2 linked regions of the Elephas maximus indicus genome follow. The protein of the gene in region 2 interacts with the protein of the main gene of each other region in a biochemical or structural test. Links are inferred from orthologs where the notes say so. Each region holds a gene or a part of one and is shown on either strand. Other genes may lie near its edges.

Evidence for each region.
Region 1: the proteins of RBPJ (region 2) and SPEN form a complex in vitro, tested with the Homo sapiens proteins (2 studies listed by BioGRID and IntAct). The link is inferred for Elephas maximus indicus from reciprocal best matches to the Homo sapiens genes RBPJ and SPEN.

What each region holds. Positions count from the first base shown.
Region 1 is NC_064821.1:55,571,707-55,579,167, forward strand, and holds the start of SPEN (msx2-interacting protein), read left to right. Parts: upstream 1-4,270; 5' UTR 4,271-4,579; coding exon 4,580-4,662; intron 4,663-7,461. UniProt on the Homo sapiens protein: May serve as a nuclear matrix platform that organizes and integrates transcriptional responses. In osteoblasts, supports transcription activation: synergizes with RUNX2 to enhance FGFR2-mediated activation of the osteocalcin FGF-responsive element (OCFRE).
Region 2 is NC_064823.1:136,632,491-136,640,717, forward strand, and holds the start of RBPJ (recombining binding protein suppressor of hairless), read right to left. Parts: upstream 3,083-8,227; 5' UTR 3,035-3,082; coding exon 2,976-3,034; intron 2,816-2,975; exon of another isoform or gene 2,764-2,815; coding exon of another isoform or gene 2,744-2,763; intron 1-2,743. UniProt on the Homo sapiens protein: Transcriptional regulator that plays a central role in Notch signaling, a signaling pathway involved in cell-cell communication that regulates a broad spectrum of cell-fate determinations.

The DNA of each region.
Region 1 (7,461 bases), on a different chromosome or scaffold from region 2:
ATGCATTTGATAATGTGTTTTTACTTCCACTGATGCTTACTTTTGCTATTATTGTGAAATTAACTGTCAACTTAATGGTAGTCATAATCATATGATATGTTAATTTCAAACACATGTAACATCTGATACTTTTAGCAAACTTATTAGGTAGAGAAAACAGGTATTTTTATCCTCATTTTGCAGATAAGGAAACTTTGAGGATTTGTCTTGCTTATTCAAAAAAAAAAAAAAAAGCAAAACCTGTTGTCTGGTTGATTTCTTCTCATAGCAACCCTATAGGACAGGGCAGACTGCCCCATACGGTTTCCAAGGAGCAGCTGATGGTGGATTTGAACTGTGGTTAGCAGCCAAGTTCTTAACCACTATACCACCAGGGCTCCAAAACAAAACCCACTGCTGTTGAGCCAATTCCAATTTGTAGCGACCCTATAGGATATAGGCCACATAGCCAGTGACAAAATTGCAACTGGAATTTTTGACTCTTAACCTCACCGTTCCTTCCATTACGCTATGATATCTCTTATTACACTGTTAGTGGTTTTCAGAATCTCCTGAACTTTAAGGTGTTTGTTGTCATGAAAGAATCTTTTATAGAAATGGATAGAATTCCCAGTGGAATTGCTTATTTTAACCTGGTGTATGTAGCTATTTTCCCTTCAAATAAATTTGCAGAAGTGAAATTACAGTAACATTTTTGGTGTCAGAGGATCACATTAAAATTTGAATACAAAGTATTTGTTTTACTCATTGAATAATCTGCATGTCTATTTAGGCTGATACCTGTTGGGATTTTATAAACTGAGAATTCTCTTTTGAGAAGTATATGTCAGATTAAAAAAAAAACAACACTATAATGGATATTTCTGTCATTATTTTTGGCACCCGTATTTCTGAAAAATGTATCTTGATTAAACTAACACTTCAAGTCAGAAGTAAGGCCTGACCTGCTTCTGAAAGGTCACAGCCTTGAAAACCTTATGGACCAGTTCTGCTCTGCAGATGTGGGGTCCCCATGAATCGGAATCCCCTCTGTGGCAACTAACGACGACACTTCAAGAGAATTTGAGTATGAGGTTCTACAAATGATGTTTAATGGGAGAAACTACTTGCCTTTAAATTGCTAAACAGACAGTTTATACTTTTTTTTTTTTTTGATAGACCTCTGGTAAAATGAAAAATGGTATCTTAATTTGCTTCAGGTCTTCTTGACATTCTGTGATCTCTAAGGGTTCCTGGAAAGCTTTAGCGCAACTTTGCTTAACAATTTTTTAGTAATGGTATACCACAATTTCCCTTCCACTCCCTCTGCTCTTCTCTAAAAGGTTGGGGGGCTTCAAAGTGTATGTAAAGAACGTTGCCCATTTCAAATTACCTTATCAAAATTAAGTATCTACTCTGCTTTTTACCTGGGGAAACAGCACTGCTGTAGCAAGACCCTTAGCCTAATCTAGGAGAACTACATTTGTTTTTGTATTTATTTGGTAAACATGTTACTTTTTACTTAAATTTAACTCTCCCTAATTCTTATGCTCTGGAGAAAGTATTATAAATACATATTAATTGCCTCTTATTTTGTTCTAGTTTATCCTTTTATTGCTCTGTGGCAGTCAAAGATGGATACAAAATACCATACTAAGTCATTACTTTAGCCTCTCTTCTAATGATTTTGCTTCTAAAAGACTTTTACATTTTTTTTTTTTTGGGCCCTTGAATTTTTCTTCAGCATGATTTTAACCGAAGGCTGCATCCAAGGTGAGATACGCCCTTTATTTCTGTAGTTGCAAAATACTGTTTTCTCAATCCTCTTCTTTGTCTGTTGCCTCTTTTATATGCAGTTGAGCTGGGCCTCCTCTGGTCTTCAGGGTGACATTTTTGGTCTTTCCTAAAAGTTTTCAGTTAATTCAGAGCCTATCAGGTTTTAGATGAGCAATTTATATCTTATTTTCAAACGTGCCTCAAACCGTAGTGGCTTATATTGAATTTATGCTTCATGGGAAAATGCATGTCAGTTTGAGGCTCACTAACTAAAGCTACATAATCACTGTTATAGTTCATGAGTTTAGGTAATATTGTGCTGATGTTGTACTATTTATGTGACAGCAGTTATGACAGAAATGGCCAAATGTAAATGGCCAATCCTACATCTTAATGTAGCTTGATTTGTTTTTCCTTTTTAACTGAAGAATCAATTCCATATTTTCAAGAATAAAAATTTCCATTTCATTTAGTGACTCTTTGATATGCATGAGGACAAGATCAACCTCTAACCTGGCACTAAATACCTTAACTAAATTATGAATATGTGCCACTATTGTGGTGGCACATATTTTAGATCTTCTCCTTTTGTTCCTGCCCTTATTAAAGTTCCCAAAATAGTCAGGAAAAAAAAAAGTGTTGAAATAGAAAATGAAAACATAAATCAGGAAAATAACATAGAAAATAAACCAGTTGAATTATCTAGCCCAGAATCTGAATGTTTTTAAAAGTAACTAATTAAATTTCCAAAATCAGTTCCATGGAAAAATGTCAACCAAGATGGCAAGGTTTGCTTCTGTACAGGCAGTCCCTGGGTTACGAAAGTGTGACTTATGCCTTACAGACAACTCGTACTTCGGAATGGACTGTCATACAGCCTATTATATTAAAAATTTGAGTTAAATACATACAAAGGTTTGTAATAAGGAATGCATACAATACTTTGCGACACTCATGAAAACATTGCACAGTTTGGAAGTGTTTACGTGTAAAATACAGATCTATATGCTAAGACAAATACTTGGCTGACACTAAATAAGAATTGTACGTACCTGTTCTGACTTATTTACAAATTTGACTTAGGAACAGATCTCATTGGTAACCCGGGACTGCCTATCCTGTAACAGCTGTAACTGTGTAATGTGAGGGCTTACTTAGCCTTCTGAAAGTCCTGAGAAAGGAGAGAAGACAGCTTTCTCAGTTCATCAGATCTAAGATCAAGTTTATTAAGTACAGCATGGACTAGTAAAGAAAATACAGGAAAGGTTGATGTGACTCTGAGGTAGTTCTCTGCTCTGTCTCTGTGACTCAGTCTTTAACAAACTTACGTTAGACTATAAGGCAAACGAAAGGCTCAGGGCTTTAGCTTTTGTGGAACAAAATATAAGATGACTTGGACAGGTGACCTCACCTATTGGTGCTGAATCATCATTGGTTATGGTGACCGTATCTGTCACTTAAAAGTAGTGTAGTTTGATGATCAATTGGCTTCTATTTAAGTGGACAGTGAGTGGCACCATAGAGTGAAGATCTGGCCTGTGCCTGAAGCACTGTTGTTGAGTGCTGTGGAGTCTGCTCCCACGGATCGCCACCCCATGTACAACAGAAGGAAGCACTACCCCTCTGATAAATCTGTGGATTAAATGGGGGAAAACTGAGTTGCTGTTTTAAACAATTCACATTTTCTGGATTCAGTTGAATACAGTTGGCTGAATTTTGTGGGTTTTACCTAGGTTTCTGTAAGCTGTTCAATTTCAGGTTTCAAAAGTCCTCAGACCTGGGAAAGTCAGAGGTCTACGTACTATCTCAGTGAGACATCTGAGAACAATTAGACATCTAACTGTCCCATTTCATTTCCACTCCTGGTATACCCTAACGATCAGCAAGGGTATCTTGCAAAAGGTTTCGCAAGATGCTATGTAAAATAGAGTTGTTTAACGTTACAAGCTAATGATTCCTGGGAGGGGTGGGTTTTTGAAGCCATCACTGCTTGGCTGGGCGGTGGGAAGGACGGCCTGTTCTGACCACTTTCCCAAGCAGGCGGGGATCCAAGTGCCCGGAAACGGCCATGAGCTGCCCGGAGGGTGAGCAGAGGAAGGGGTTTTGGCATCTCCTAGGACGGAGGCCTTCGCTGCCCCTTGGACACGAAGCCTTGTCAAAACCAACTCCATTTCTCTCTTCTCTTCCCCCAGGCCGGCGCCAAGGACCCCCGCGCGGGAGGCTGGAAGCCGTTCCTGCCTCCCCGCGCCGGGGGCCTGACGGCGCGCCCGCCCCGCGCGGCTGCGCACCGGGACCGAGCGCGAGCGTCCCTCCCCCGCCCCGCGTCCCGCCATCCCCCGCCCTGCCCGTGCGCCTGCGCGTCGGCTGCGAGGGACGCGGGGCCTCGGCCTCGGCGGACGGACGCGCGCGCGCCCGCGGCGAGGGGGCGGCGGCCAGGCGACGGGAGGCGGGCCGCGCGCGCGCCGGTGGGAAGCGTCCGGCTGCCACAGCGCCAGCTCCGTCGTAGTCGCTGCCGCCCGGGTCCCGCTCGCCCCTCCTCCCCGCTCCCCCCGCCTGCCGCCGCCCGGGCGCATGCGCTGCCGGAGCGCGAGGGTCGGCTTCGGGTGTGTGGTGGCGGCAGAGCGGCGCTGCGAGGCCCGAGAGTCAGAACCTGGGGGAGAGGGATGGTCTCTGCACGGGGGGGAGCCGGAGGAGCCGCCGCCGCTGCCGACGCCACCGCCGCAGCCGCCGCCGCCGCCGCTGCGCCCGCCTCCCGGCGCTGAAGGGCTCGTACCAAGCCGGCGAGGGAGAAGCAGCAGCGGCGGTCGCCGGCACGCCGCCCAGCATGGTCCGGGAAACCAGGCACCTCTGGGTGGGCAACTTACCGGAGAACGTGCGGGAAGAGAAGATCATCGAGCATTTCAAACGGTGAGTGACACGAGGCCCGGGCCGCGCTCTCTCCCCGGCCGCGGCGCTGGCCCGTTGTTGGCTCTCCCCGTGCTCGGAACTGGGGAGGAGGACCCCGTCCCGGACTCCCGGACGGGTGCGGGGGGCGCGCGGGCTGCCGCGCCGGCCGCTCGGCCAGGTCCCGGCGTTGGGCCTCGGCGGAGCGGGGCCGCGGGGCCCAGCTGCCACCCTCTCCCTTCCGAATAAGGAGACTGTCGCTTGGCCTCCGCGAAGCAGGCGCCCGAGGGTTCCCCTGGCGTTGGCAAGGAAGCGGGTCAGTGCCGCGCTCTGGTGGCGCTCCCCGGCGGGGTCGCGTCCTTGCGCGCCGGCTGCCCCGGCGAGCCGCTCTCAGGTCTTTGGGACGCGCCTCCCGGCGCCCCCGGTCCGAGCAGCCACCCGCATCCGCCCGGCGAAGGCGGCCGAACCGGGAACCGAGCAGCGGCTGACAGGCTGCGGCCGGCCCGGGACCCGGACCTGTCCCAGACCCGCCCCCTGCCCCTCCGGCCCCGGCACCGCAGACTCCCGACTCTCGTAGCAACTCCCGCTCCGCGCACAAGGGCGCATGGAAATGTCTGACTTAGAGTGGGTTTTGTGCGAAAGAAGAGGTACAAAAACAAAAGTCTTGGTAGGTAACGTAGGAACATCTCTGATTTGGGAAGACACTGCTAGATTCTAGGGATCTCTCACACCGAAGAGTTACAGACCTGGGAACGAAATGAAAATGGCAAATTCCTTTTTGTCTTTTTTTTCTTGTTTTTGCGGGATTGGGTGGAGAATGAGGTCTGCAAATAAGTTTGTGCCCCAGTTTTGGCTCTTTCGCCTTTCTTCCTCCAGCCCCCTCGGGTGCCCATCAGGAGGATGGTGGGAACAGAGCCTCAAATAGGAAGGTACCCACCTCAAATAGGCGCTGTGAAGCCCAGAGGAAGCTCCGGGACCTACTACTGCGGCCGTGCTGGCATTATCGTGCATATCCTTCTTAAAAATAATGGTATTTTCCCCCACCCATAATTTATCAAATGGTTTAAAAATGCAAGTGTTTTAAGATTAATGTTTTTTTTTTAATCTACGCGAATTATTTGTCCATGAAATGTAAAAGGTCTTTGATACATCTTTTTTATTTAGTAGCACTTTTTTTTTTGGTTTTTTTTTTTGTAGCACTTAGCACTTGTTTTCTTTGTGAAATGTATGTGTACCACAACTGGTAAGAGGTCTCAAAATAAAATAATTAAAATAGCGATTTATTTAGACTTGGAGCAGATTGAGAAGGACCGTACAAATCTTTATGATCATTCTCAGAAATTAGCTTTTTTCGTATTCATGACCCTGAAAGGTATTAAGTTTGGTGTACTCCTAATTCCTCTTACTATTTAGGTGAGTGAGGGAAATTATGGAGCGTCCTTATTAGTGAGTCACCATGGGAAAAATAGATTGCGTCGCTCGCTGTTGAGCTGCGTGGATAAGGAAATAGGAGCAGCGGCAGCAGAGCCCCTGTTTTTCAAATGGAGGATCATTGATTCTGTTGGTGGTTGCTGTTCCTGGGGTATTAAATTTTCACGTCTGGAGCGCGCGTCTGCGCGTGTCCGCGTGTGAAAAGGAGCCGGGAATAGTGAGACCATTCATAACCTGCTAAAACTGTCCTCAGCAGGGCTGGGGGAGGTGCGCTTCCAGGGACTCTCCCAGTGTTTACTACGTTGTGCCTGAGAGACCAGGCAAAAACTCGCCTTTGCCCGCGATGATAAAGGGGAGTCGTTGAGCTGAATTGGGAAGCAGATGAGAACTTTCTCTTCCTGGCGTTGCTCCACCCCTTTTTCCCTCCTATCCCTCGTCCTCAGTGTTTTGGTGGAAAAATCATTTAGGTGCAGATTTTTGGAGGAGATAAACCGCTTAGATGCGCTGACTTTTATCTCCTTGTGGACTCTATCTGTAGGTTGCTGGATGGAAAATTCGTACGCACCGACGCGCAAACACGTGCATTGCAGCATTCTCTTTGCTCCGTGTTCTGTGGCCAGACGTGTCGTTTTGCATTATGCAGATTCCAGAGACATGGCATGCATTGCATTGCATTGCATCGCTTGTCTAGGGGAGTTTGACCCTTCTGCAAATTGAGGGGGAGAGATAGGAAAGAGGAAATTGCCCAAGGGAGTTTTGGAAGGCTTCTAAGTGGATGGTGCTGCAGTCTGTCTTGTGTGAATGACTTTCTAAAATGGCGGCTAGGACCCACTTTATGTGGGAATCAGCAGAGCAGATCTCAGAATGCACAGAGGGAGGAGGGGACGGAGGATGCGCGCAGGCTGCCTTGGAAAGCGGCAGTCTGGAGGACCAGTACTGTATTACAGAGGGCTTAGCTGGCACATTGCTCACGGCTGCACTGAAAGGAGTGCCTTACCTGTTAACAGAGCAAAGGCAGGTGATTCCTATAAAAGCAGGTTATTTTAAAATGTAGCAGACTGTGTTTCCCTGAAACGTCTTTATTTTAAAGGCGATTCTTCATGTTTAAACATGTATTCTGTTATTTGACTAGAGCGTTAAAAAGTATACAGAGAAAAATCTCCCCACCACCCCTGACCTTTGGTCTCCCGGTACCCATTCCCCCTCCCCATCAGGTATCTGTTTCTGGTTTCTTGTTTATCCTTAAAAAGAGTTTTTCCACATGTACAAGAAATGTCCTTGCTGATCCAGCTGTGAGTCATTTTTGGAGTAATTCAAAGCCTTTTATTTCTATTGTGTGTGATGCTACCGGGGAGGAAAACTAAATCTGAATAATTTAATCGAAAGGGATAA
Region 2 (8,227 bases):
AACACCAGAATTATGATATGTAAGACGGCACTGGGTTTGGGGTTTAAAAACTCTCAAACAAAATTTTTTTCTAATATCCTACCCATTCAGGGTTAGAAAGATTATTTAACGAGTTACATCTGGCAGGAGTGGCTTTTTACTCAAACCATTTTTTTTTTAATCTTAGCCGCTTAAAAGACAATAATAGACTGATACAGAGCAACAGGTAACTTTGTAACAAACGCAACTGCTTAAATTCAAATGCCTAAAAGCGCACATCTGAATGTTCTGAAAATACTGCAAGTGAACTGCTTATATTTTTCCCCGAAATATATTCCCCGCAGACTTATCTGCAATATGCATGAACAATAAGTTAAAAAATTTAACAATCAATACTCAGAATATAACTTTCCCAACCACTATTCAACCTGTATACTTCTAAATGTGCTATTCCGGATATAATTTAATAAAGGCACTTCTTATTTTGGTCATGAGATAAAGGTCTTACATCAAGAAACAGTATACGATTTAGAAACAGAATACACAAGTCTTAATTGAAAAAACTTTATAAGATGTTTGCGTGATCATTCTCACGTGTAGAAATCAAGGCAAATGCCTTACATTATTACATGATATTTACATTTTGCTTACAGTCAGAGTCAACAGTGTGTGCTCAAGATTTACCTTCAAAAGCCTGATGATGCACTATTTAAGGACAAATAAGGGAAACAAGTAGTAATTCCACTCATGGAACCCAAACCGCAAATTTTCACAAAACCTCATGTGTCAATCATGAAACTATGCTTTTTCCATTAATTAATTCAACTACTAATCCCAATCAAAGTCTTCAGACAAAAAATATGCTTTCTAATGTACCAATCAATATTTGCATATCAGATCTTGTAAATCTCCTATCAATAGCACTTTACGGGGGCTTTAGTTTACAAATGAAATCACTGCCTCAAAATGATTTTATGGTTACCACATCTTCTAAAAGTACTGACCAACTAGTGGGGGAGGAGGAAACTCTTAACCATTATATTCTGTGCAGTAATCCTGGTAAGTCTAACATTTCATAGTCCAAACACCAGAATAACTCAGGCCATTAAAATGCCACCGCCCCCACACACAACTCCATAACAACAACAATTTAGAACAATCTAATAGTATTTAGGAAGTGAATGTAACTGCCTTTAAGGTGACTTTATTTCAGGCTACTCCTTATGTATCTTTTAATCACATCTGATTTGACATAGTCCACAAAGACCGAAGAAGCATTATTCACCAGCTAGAAACTGCACTCTTAAGCGTTTTCCTCATTTCAACCCCAAAGGACAGGAGAGTTGTCACAAATCTACAGAGCAAAAGCAAACAAGTGTAATTTATATCTAATAATCAACAATAACAAAAAAAAAACTAAAATATGTGTATCAAATCAATTCCCAAGCAGAATGCCTCCCTTTTCCTTACAAAGGAGTTATTGGCAAAATAACTAGACTCTAGATCTAGATTCTAAAGAATACTGAAATTCTCCATCTCAACATTCACAAGTTTTAACATCAAAATTCACCTAACTCCTACTCGCACACCAAATGAATATACAATGTGGGTATCCGAAACGAGTCTCAAATAATATGTCTCCCTCTAAACGTACTACAATAGCCTTCGCCCAACCACAGGTAACCAGATGCAAAGCTACAGACAGCTGCCCTTGGCCCAGACCGTCAGAAACCAAGAGGTGGGGGCAACAACCACCAAGAGACCCTATCTTTTTCCAGGGCTACTGTTTCCAAGCAAAACAATCACGGGCCCAGAGGGACAGCGAAGAAAACTGGAGACGCCGTAACCCCAAGAGAAAGGGGTGCGGGGGAGAGGAGGGATGCCGAGAAAGAAACGAAATATCTTCGCGCATCATTCAGATCCACAAAAACAACAAACCGTAGGATTTGCACGTAGAAACACCAGATGGAGTCCCCGGGACTGAGACAGTTGAGGAGACAGACACCATGGGTAGCGGATAAATGACCGAAGGGGGGGGTGCCGAACGAAGAAAAGCAGCCACTGGATGGGGGAGACAAAGCCTATGGGGGTGATCAAGGACCAAACAGAAAGGCTGGAGAAGAAACGAATGAGAAAAACAATGGAAGAAAAATTAAAAGACAAAAATTTGCTACCTGGGCTGTGCCAGGTCACTGGGCTGCCGAGCAGAGGGGGGCAAAACAAAGGGGCACGAGAGGAAGGGCAGCGGAGGAGAGGAGATGGGAGAAGGGATGCGGGGCGCGACGGGTCAGACAAAGCGCCCAAGGCGGTGAAACAAAGAGCTGGGGGTAGAAAATCGCGGGGGGCAGCGAGTAAAGACAAAGCGCCCGGGACCGGAGCACCCGGCGGGCGAGGAGGCGACGGCGGCCGGGAGGAACAAAGCTGCGCGGGGCCGGGAGGCAGGGCCCGCGGGCGGCGCCAGCCGCACGGGCGGCGCGCGGCGGACACAGCGCCCGAGGGCCCCGCGCGCTCGGCAGCACTCACGCCCGCACCCGCCGGCCTCCCAGTCGCCGCCGCCCGCCCTCTCGCGCTGGAGCCCGAGCCACGGCGGCGCAGAGTGGACAGCGCACGGCCACACGCCGCCACCGCGCTCGGCGCACGCGACACCGCCCCCGCTGCCCCCCGACACCGAGCGCACCGCGGCCCCCGAACCCGCCGCCCGCCGCCGGCTGCGAGACGGCCGCAACTTTCCCCGTGCCCAGCGCTCAGATTCCCTCAGACTTACCCTGTCACAACAGGCGCCATCTTCCACAAACTCTCGCCAAAACTCCAACCCTCGCGAGATTCCCCCCGACGCCTTCCCTGGTCCCTCTCCCCCGCCCTTCCCTTTTTCCTCACTCCTCGAGTCCACCCAGCCCCCTCGCTCTTCTTCCCCTCGCAGCCGCCGCGAAGAGCCAGACGCCTCGCGCCGCCTGCCGAGTAGGGGATCCTGCTTGCTGCCGTCCCTGGAAACCTACCCAAGCGATGGAGCATGCGCAGGCGGCTGCCCCGCGGGCGAGCCCTCCGTGTGGTCCATGGGGAGCGCTCCGGTTATCCGGGTTTTGGGACGCACCCTGAGGGACGTACGTGGAGACTGAGGAAAACTGGAGGGGATTACAACTGGGACGGGGAATGGAGGGGTCAGGGGGCGGGGCCAAGGGGAAGGGAGGAGGGGTCCTGGGAAAATCTGCCGCGTTCCACAGGCCTAGATGAAACACCTCCTCAAATGGGTGTTTTCCAAGTAGCTTCCCGCTCACTCTGGGTTCCCAGCCTCTTTCATTCATTCAAACGTTCATTGGACGCCTCCTTTATGCTGGTCTCAGCGTTAGATGCTGGAGCTACTAAAACGCCTGGGCTTAGGGCGAGTGGCATACGAGGAACCTTCTTCATTCATTCGACACCCAGACTAATGGGAGACGAACGTTACAACATGGTCCGACCCTACAGAGCTCTGCACACGGAAAACTTTTGCAGTTGAGCCCTGTCGCCTTAGCTTCTTTCTCCTTGGGTGCGAAATGAGGCCAGGTCAAGGCCTCTGGCAAAGGCATCCACCTCACACGCACACGCCAGAATGTCGAGTAGTTTTCTCCAGAAGTGAAAACTATGATGGAATTGAGAGCCGCCACCACCCAGCCCGGCCAGAGGGCCGGCTCAAAGCTGGCTGCCGTCGGCGTGAGCAGCAGCCGTGAGTGACCCCAGGTCAATAGGGGGCCGACTCTGCACAGAGCACCGGGCCTCCCCGGGGCCTGGCACAGCCAAAGACCCCACCGCTGCCTGACACGTACTTCAAGGGGTTTAAATCCGGACGACTCCCCCTAAGCCAACTTGGCGGGTCTGGGCATTTAATAGAAAGGTGCAGGGCCTGGACCCCGCCCGCCCTCCCTGCCGCCCTCCTACCCCACCCTCGCCCTTTCCTTTCCTAGAGATTCCCAGATCCTGCTCTGCCTCCCGCAGGGAACCCCAAAACCCGGAGAACTGGAATCCTCCGGCCGAAACCTGCTGAAGGCGCTGCAGGATTGGCGCGGCACACGCGAGAGGCAGTGCGCATGTGCCCAATGCAGGCAGTTCAGTCTCACGCTACACCTCCTTCCCACCGCCTTCCACTACTCCGCTCAGACACAACACGGGCCGTGGGAAATTTCCTAAACCTCGCGAGAACGCGCCCTCTGTTGCCTATGCTTGAGCCCCAAATCTCGCGGAGCGCAGGCTGGACAGGTGTTTGTCTTTTGCCGCTCCGGGCGCTGTTCGTGCCGCGCGTGCCCGGGCGGCTGGCGGCGAGCGCAGGTGGGGTGGGAAGGGAGCGGCTCGCCGCGGAGGCGGGGCAGGTGGGCGCGTGGCAGGCCGCGCAGGGCGGAGAGCGGCTGGGTGGGAGGCCCGACGTCTCGCACACACTTGCAGGTTCCTTGACTCTGCATGCAATAAAGGGTGGGGGCATGGGGCCTCTTAGGGAAGAAGAGGAAACAAGGAGTTTAGGAACTGCTCTCGGTGCAGAGGGATAAGAGGTCAGACTACAGGGCAGGAGGAACCCCAGGCCGATCTCCCGGGGAGGTTTCCTGTCTCCTTTCACGAGTCTGGTACTTTCCTACAACGTGTTAGACACTGCGGTCCCCGCCTCCGGAGCTGACGGACAGCCCCCAGTGTCGGATTTGAGTCATACCTCTGAGTCACCTAGCCGGGCCTCCACTTCACTTGCATTAAAACAAGTCTGGATTCTCATCTACCCTGGGGCTTGTGAGTTAGGTAGAAAAAAATAAATACATGTTGCTCTCTGCGCTCTCTCATTGTTGCTTTGTATAGATTCTGCTTCCCATTCAAGGACACGATTTTTCTTTTTTTTTAGATCATCCCCTCCTCAATCTCTTCCTAGCCTTTTGAAATAGTCCCTATATATCAGTTTCTGTTCTTTTTTTTTCTTCCTCCCCACTAATATGACATAATTTTGGTTTTGCTTTCCTTCCCCTTTCCATGTTTTTTGTTGAAAGACTCATTCCATTTTAGGTATCCTTTCGTCAGATCCCTTAGTGACCACTGTTTTAAGTCCGTCCCTTTCTTTTGGATTTTTTATTTTGTTCAGTGAGTTCCTGATTGCGTTTCTCAGTCAGGCTCACTTCAGACTGGCCTTAGTATGGTTTCTGTACCAGCCTAGCCTAGCCTACCATTGTCCAGGAACTGGTGTCTTGCTGGGAACATATTGTTGGCCAGCAAATGTAGAATTGAATTTTGATTCCTGGAGGACAGTGAGCCCTCTAGCAGGAGCTCAAGTTCTGCTGGTTGTATAATGGTGTTATAGGAGAAAACACATAATAAAGTTGAGTAAAGTAAAAAGAAAGTTTTATTTGGCATATATTCAAAAAGGCAAAAGTGGGAAGTGGACAAGCATGCTGCCGGAGCTACTGTCTGCCCCAAACCAAGGAAATATAGAACAGACAAAGGTGGGAAAAGGGACAAGCATACTACCACAGCCATGTCTGCCCAAGTCCAAAGAACATTACAGAGTCGTTAGTATATATTAACACTATAAATGGACAAAACCATTGAAAGCTTCACCTTTTTACAGATTGGCTAGAAACTATGATCCGACATTTTGAATTGTCCCTCTCAACAATCATTGGTACAGGTTTCAGTAAAGACGGTAAGGAAGGTCTTCACTGGTCCAACAAATTTTCTCTTCACTAAATGCTAATAGAAAAAGATAAGAGTGGAACGTCTTTTGTGTTCTGGCTTAAGTGAAAGATTCCCTAGAAGATCTTTTCCAAGATTATCTGTTGTCTTTATACCTCAGGGTTCAGTTGATGTGTCCTTGTGAGTCCTTGTGGGCCCAGCTGCAGCTGGGTCACATTCTCTATGCTCAAGGATAGGGAATAATGACTCCAATATTATTTCCTAGATCAATGGGCAGGAAATTAAATTTTTGTTTGTGCTGTTTTCATGGTTGTTAGGGGTGTGTGTGTGTGTGTGTGTGTTGTACTTGCCTGTATCTTTTGATTACATAGGGTCTCTATGAGTCAGAATTGACAGCAATGGGTTTTTGTTATTATATATTTAACACAGAAGAAGAAAAAATACAAAAGAATTTAATATAATATCTCAAAGTAAGTCTGATTTGAAAGAGAATAGCTCAGGAGGAGGACAATGACCTTTGGGCACATATTCCTTGGAGCCTTCCTTTCATGAAGCCATTTCCATTTTGGTCTAGTCCAGGCCACTGATCTGTTTTGGAACCATGGCCATCTGAGAGCTTCAGCATCCTTGGAAAATAATGGTAACCGTAAGTCTAATCACAATTCCTTAGGGTAAAGTCTAATCAGAACTTCAACCTAAAACTCTGCTCTAAAACATGGTCAGTCTATAGTCTTCGCCCATCTCAGTAAATGCCAACTCCATCCTTCCACATACTTAAGCCAAGAAGCTTGGTATGTTCTTGTGTTTTTTTTTTTTTTTTTTTTCATACACCTAACCTCCAGTCTCACAGAAAATCATGCTGGTTCCATGTTCAAAATATAGGCACAACCCAAGCACTTTCCCACCTCCATGGCTACCAGCCTGGTCCAAGCCATCTCATTCTCACCTGAATTCAGGAAGTCTCCAAACTGCTCCCCTTTCTTCCATTCTTGCCTCCCCATAGCCTCTTCTCACAGAGTACTCAGAGTGGCCCTGTGCTCAGAAGGTTCCAATGCTTTCCTCATTTCACTAAGAGGTACTTCAAGATCTGGCCTGCTACCAAAAGCCCCTGACCTCTGACCTCACCTTCTCCTCTTCTCCCCCTTGCTCACTGAACTGTGACCCTGTGGCTTTCTTGCTGTTCTTGGGACACAGGAACACACTCTCAACTCTAGGCCTTTGCTCTTTCCAAAATGTTTGTCCCTCAGACACCTTATGGCTTATTCCCTCACTGCCTTTACTGCAAATGTCACCTTGTCTCAGTGAGACCTTCCCTGACCACCCTTCAAAAAAGTGACTCCCTGTACTCCACATCTTACCTATTCCATTATTTTTCGCATGGAATTTATAAACTAACACACCATATATCCTACTTGTGTATTGTGTTTACTGTCTTCTGCTATTGTGTAATCTTACTGAGGGCAGGGATTTTTATCTCTTTTGTTCAGTGTTCAAGCCTTGGCCACAAGAGCAATGCTAGGCATCATAGTAGGTACTCGGTATTTGTGGAATGAATTGGGTGTCTTCCCCTTTAGGGCAAAGTAGAAATGATTCCGAAGACTCACTAAGCCTTCTAACATTCAAGACAATATTGGGTATGACCACTGATAAGTGCCCCAGTACCAGCCTGCCTGAGGAGGGGGAAGAAGTCTACAGTACCACCTGTGTTAACTTGATGCAAAAATGAAAGTTCTTATCTACAGATTAGACCTGTAGAACAGTAGATGAGGCCACATTTACTTTAAGGGTTTCCTTTACTCTCCATCTTAGCACCTCAGGAAAGAAAACACTGTTGGCAGGATATATAAAAACAAGCATTCTTATAGGTTGCTAGCGAAGTGAAAATTGGTATAACGTTTATCGAAAGCATTTTGGCGAAATATATCACTACCTTCTAATCCTACAATTCTGTTTCTAGAAATTTATCCTACAAATACGCTCACATATGCAGCATCAAATGTGGTAGAAAATATTAGTAACCTTCTAAATGTCCATAAGGAGATGCCTTTTTTTTTTTTTTAATCATGATATATTCATAGAGTGGAATAGTATGTATCTATTAATAAGCAGAGGTTTTTTTAAGTGTATTTATGTGGAAGGCTCTCAAAGGTATACTAAATTTAAAAAGCAAGGTGCAAAACAGTGATAGATAAATGTACAGTTACTTGCTGTGTGTGTCTAAAATGGCTCTGGAAGGACTGACTAAGAACTGTAGTAGTGACTGTATTCCTATAAAGGACTCAGTGGCTGGAGGACAGAGATGAAGAGGTGTCTGTCTGCTGTCTTGGATCTTTTGAACTTTGTACCATGTGTGGGTATTGCCTATTTAGAATATAAATCATTAAAAAAAGGAGTGCGAGAAGAAAAAAAAAAAAAAAGAGACCAAATTGTTTCTTTTCTTCCACTTCCTAATAGAATTATTTTCTAATGAAAGGTAAGTAGATGGTCCACCATCTCAGTAAAATTAAGAACCACAGACCTGCTATCTTAGCACCATACCACAGTCTTTTGTTAACACTGCACTCATTGTCCATTCAAACAGCACGTTTTGAGTACCTGCCATAACGTG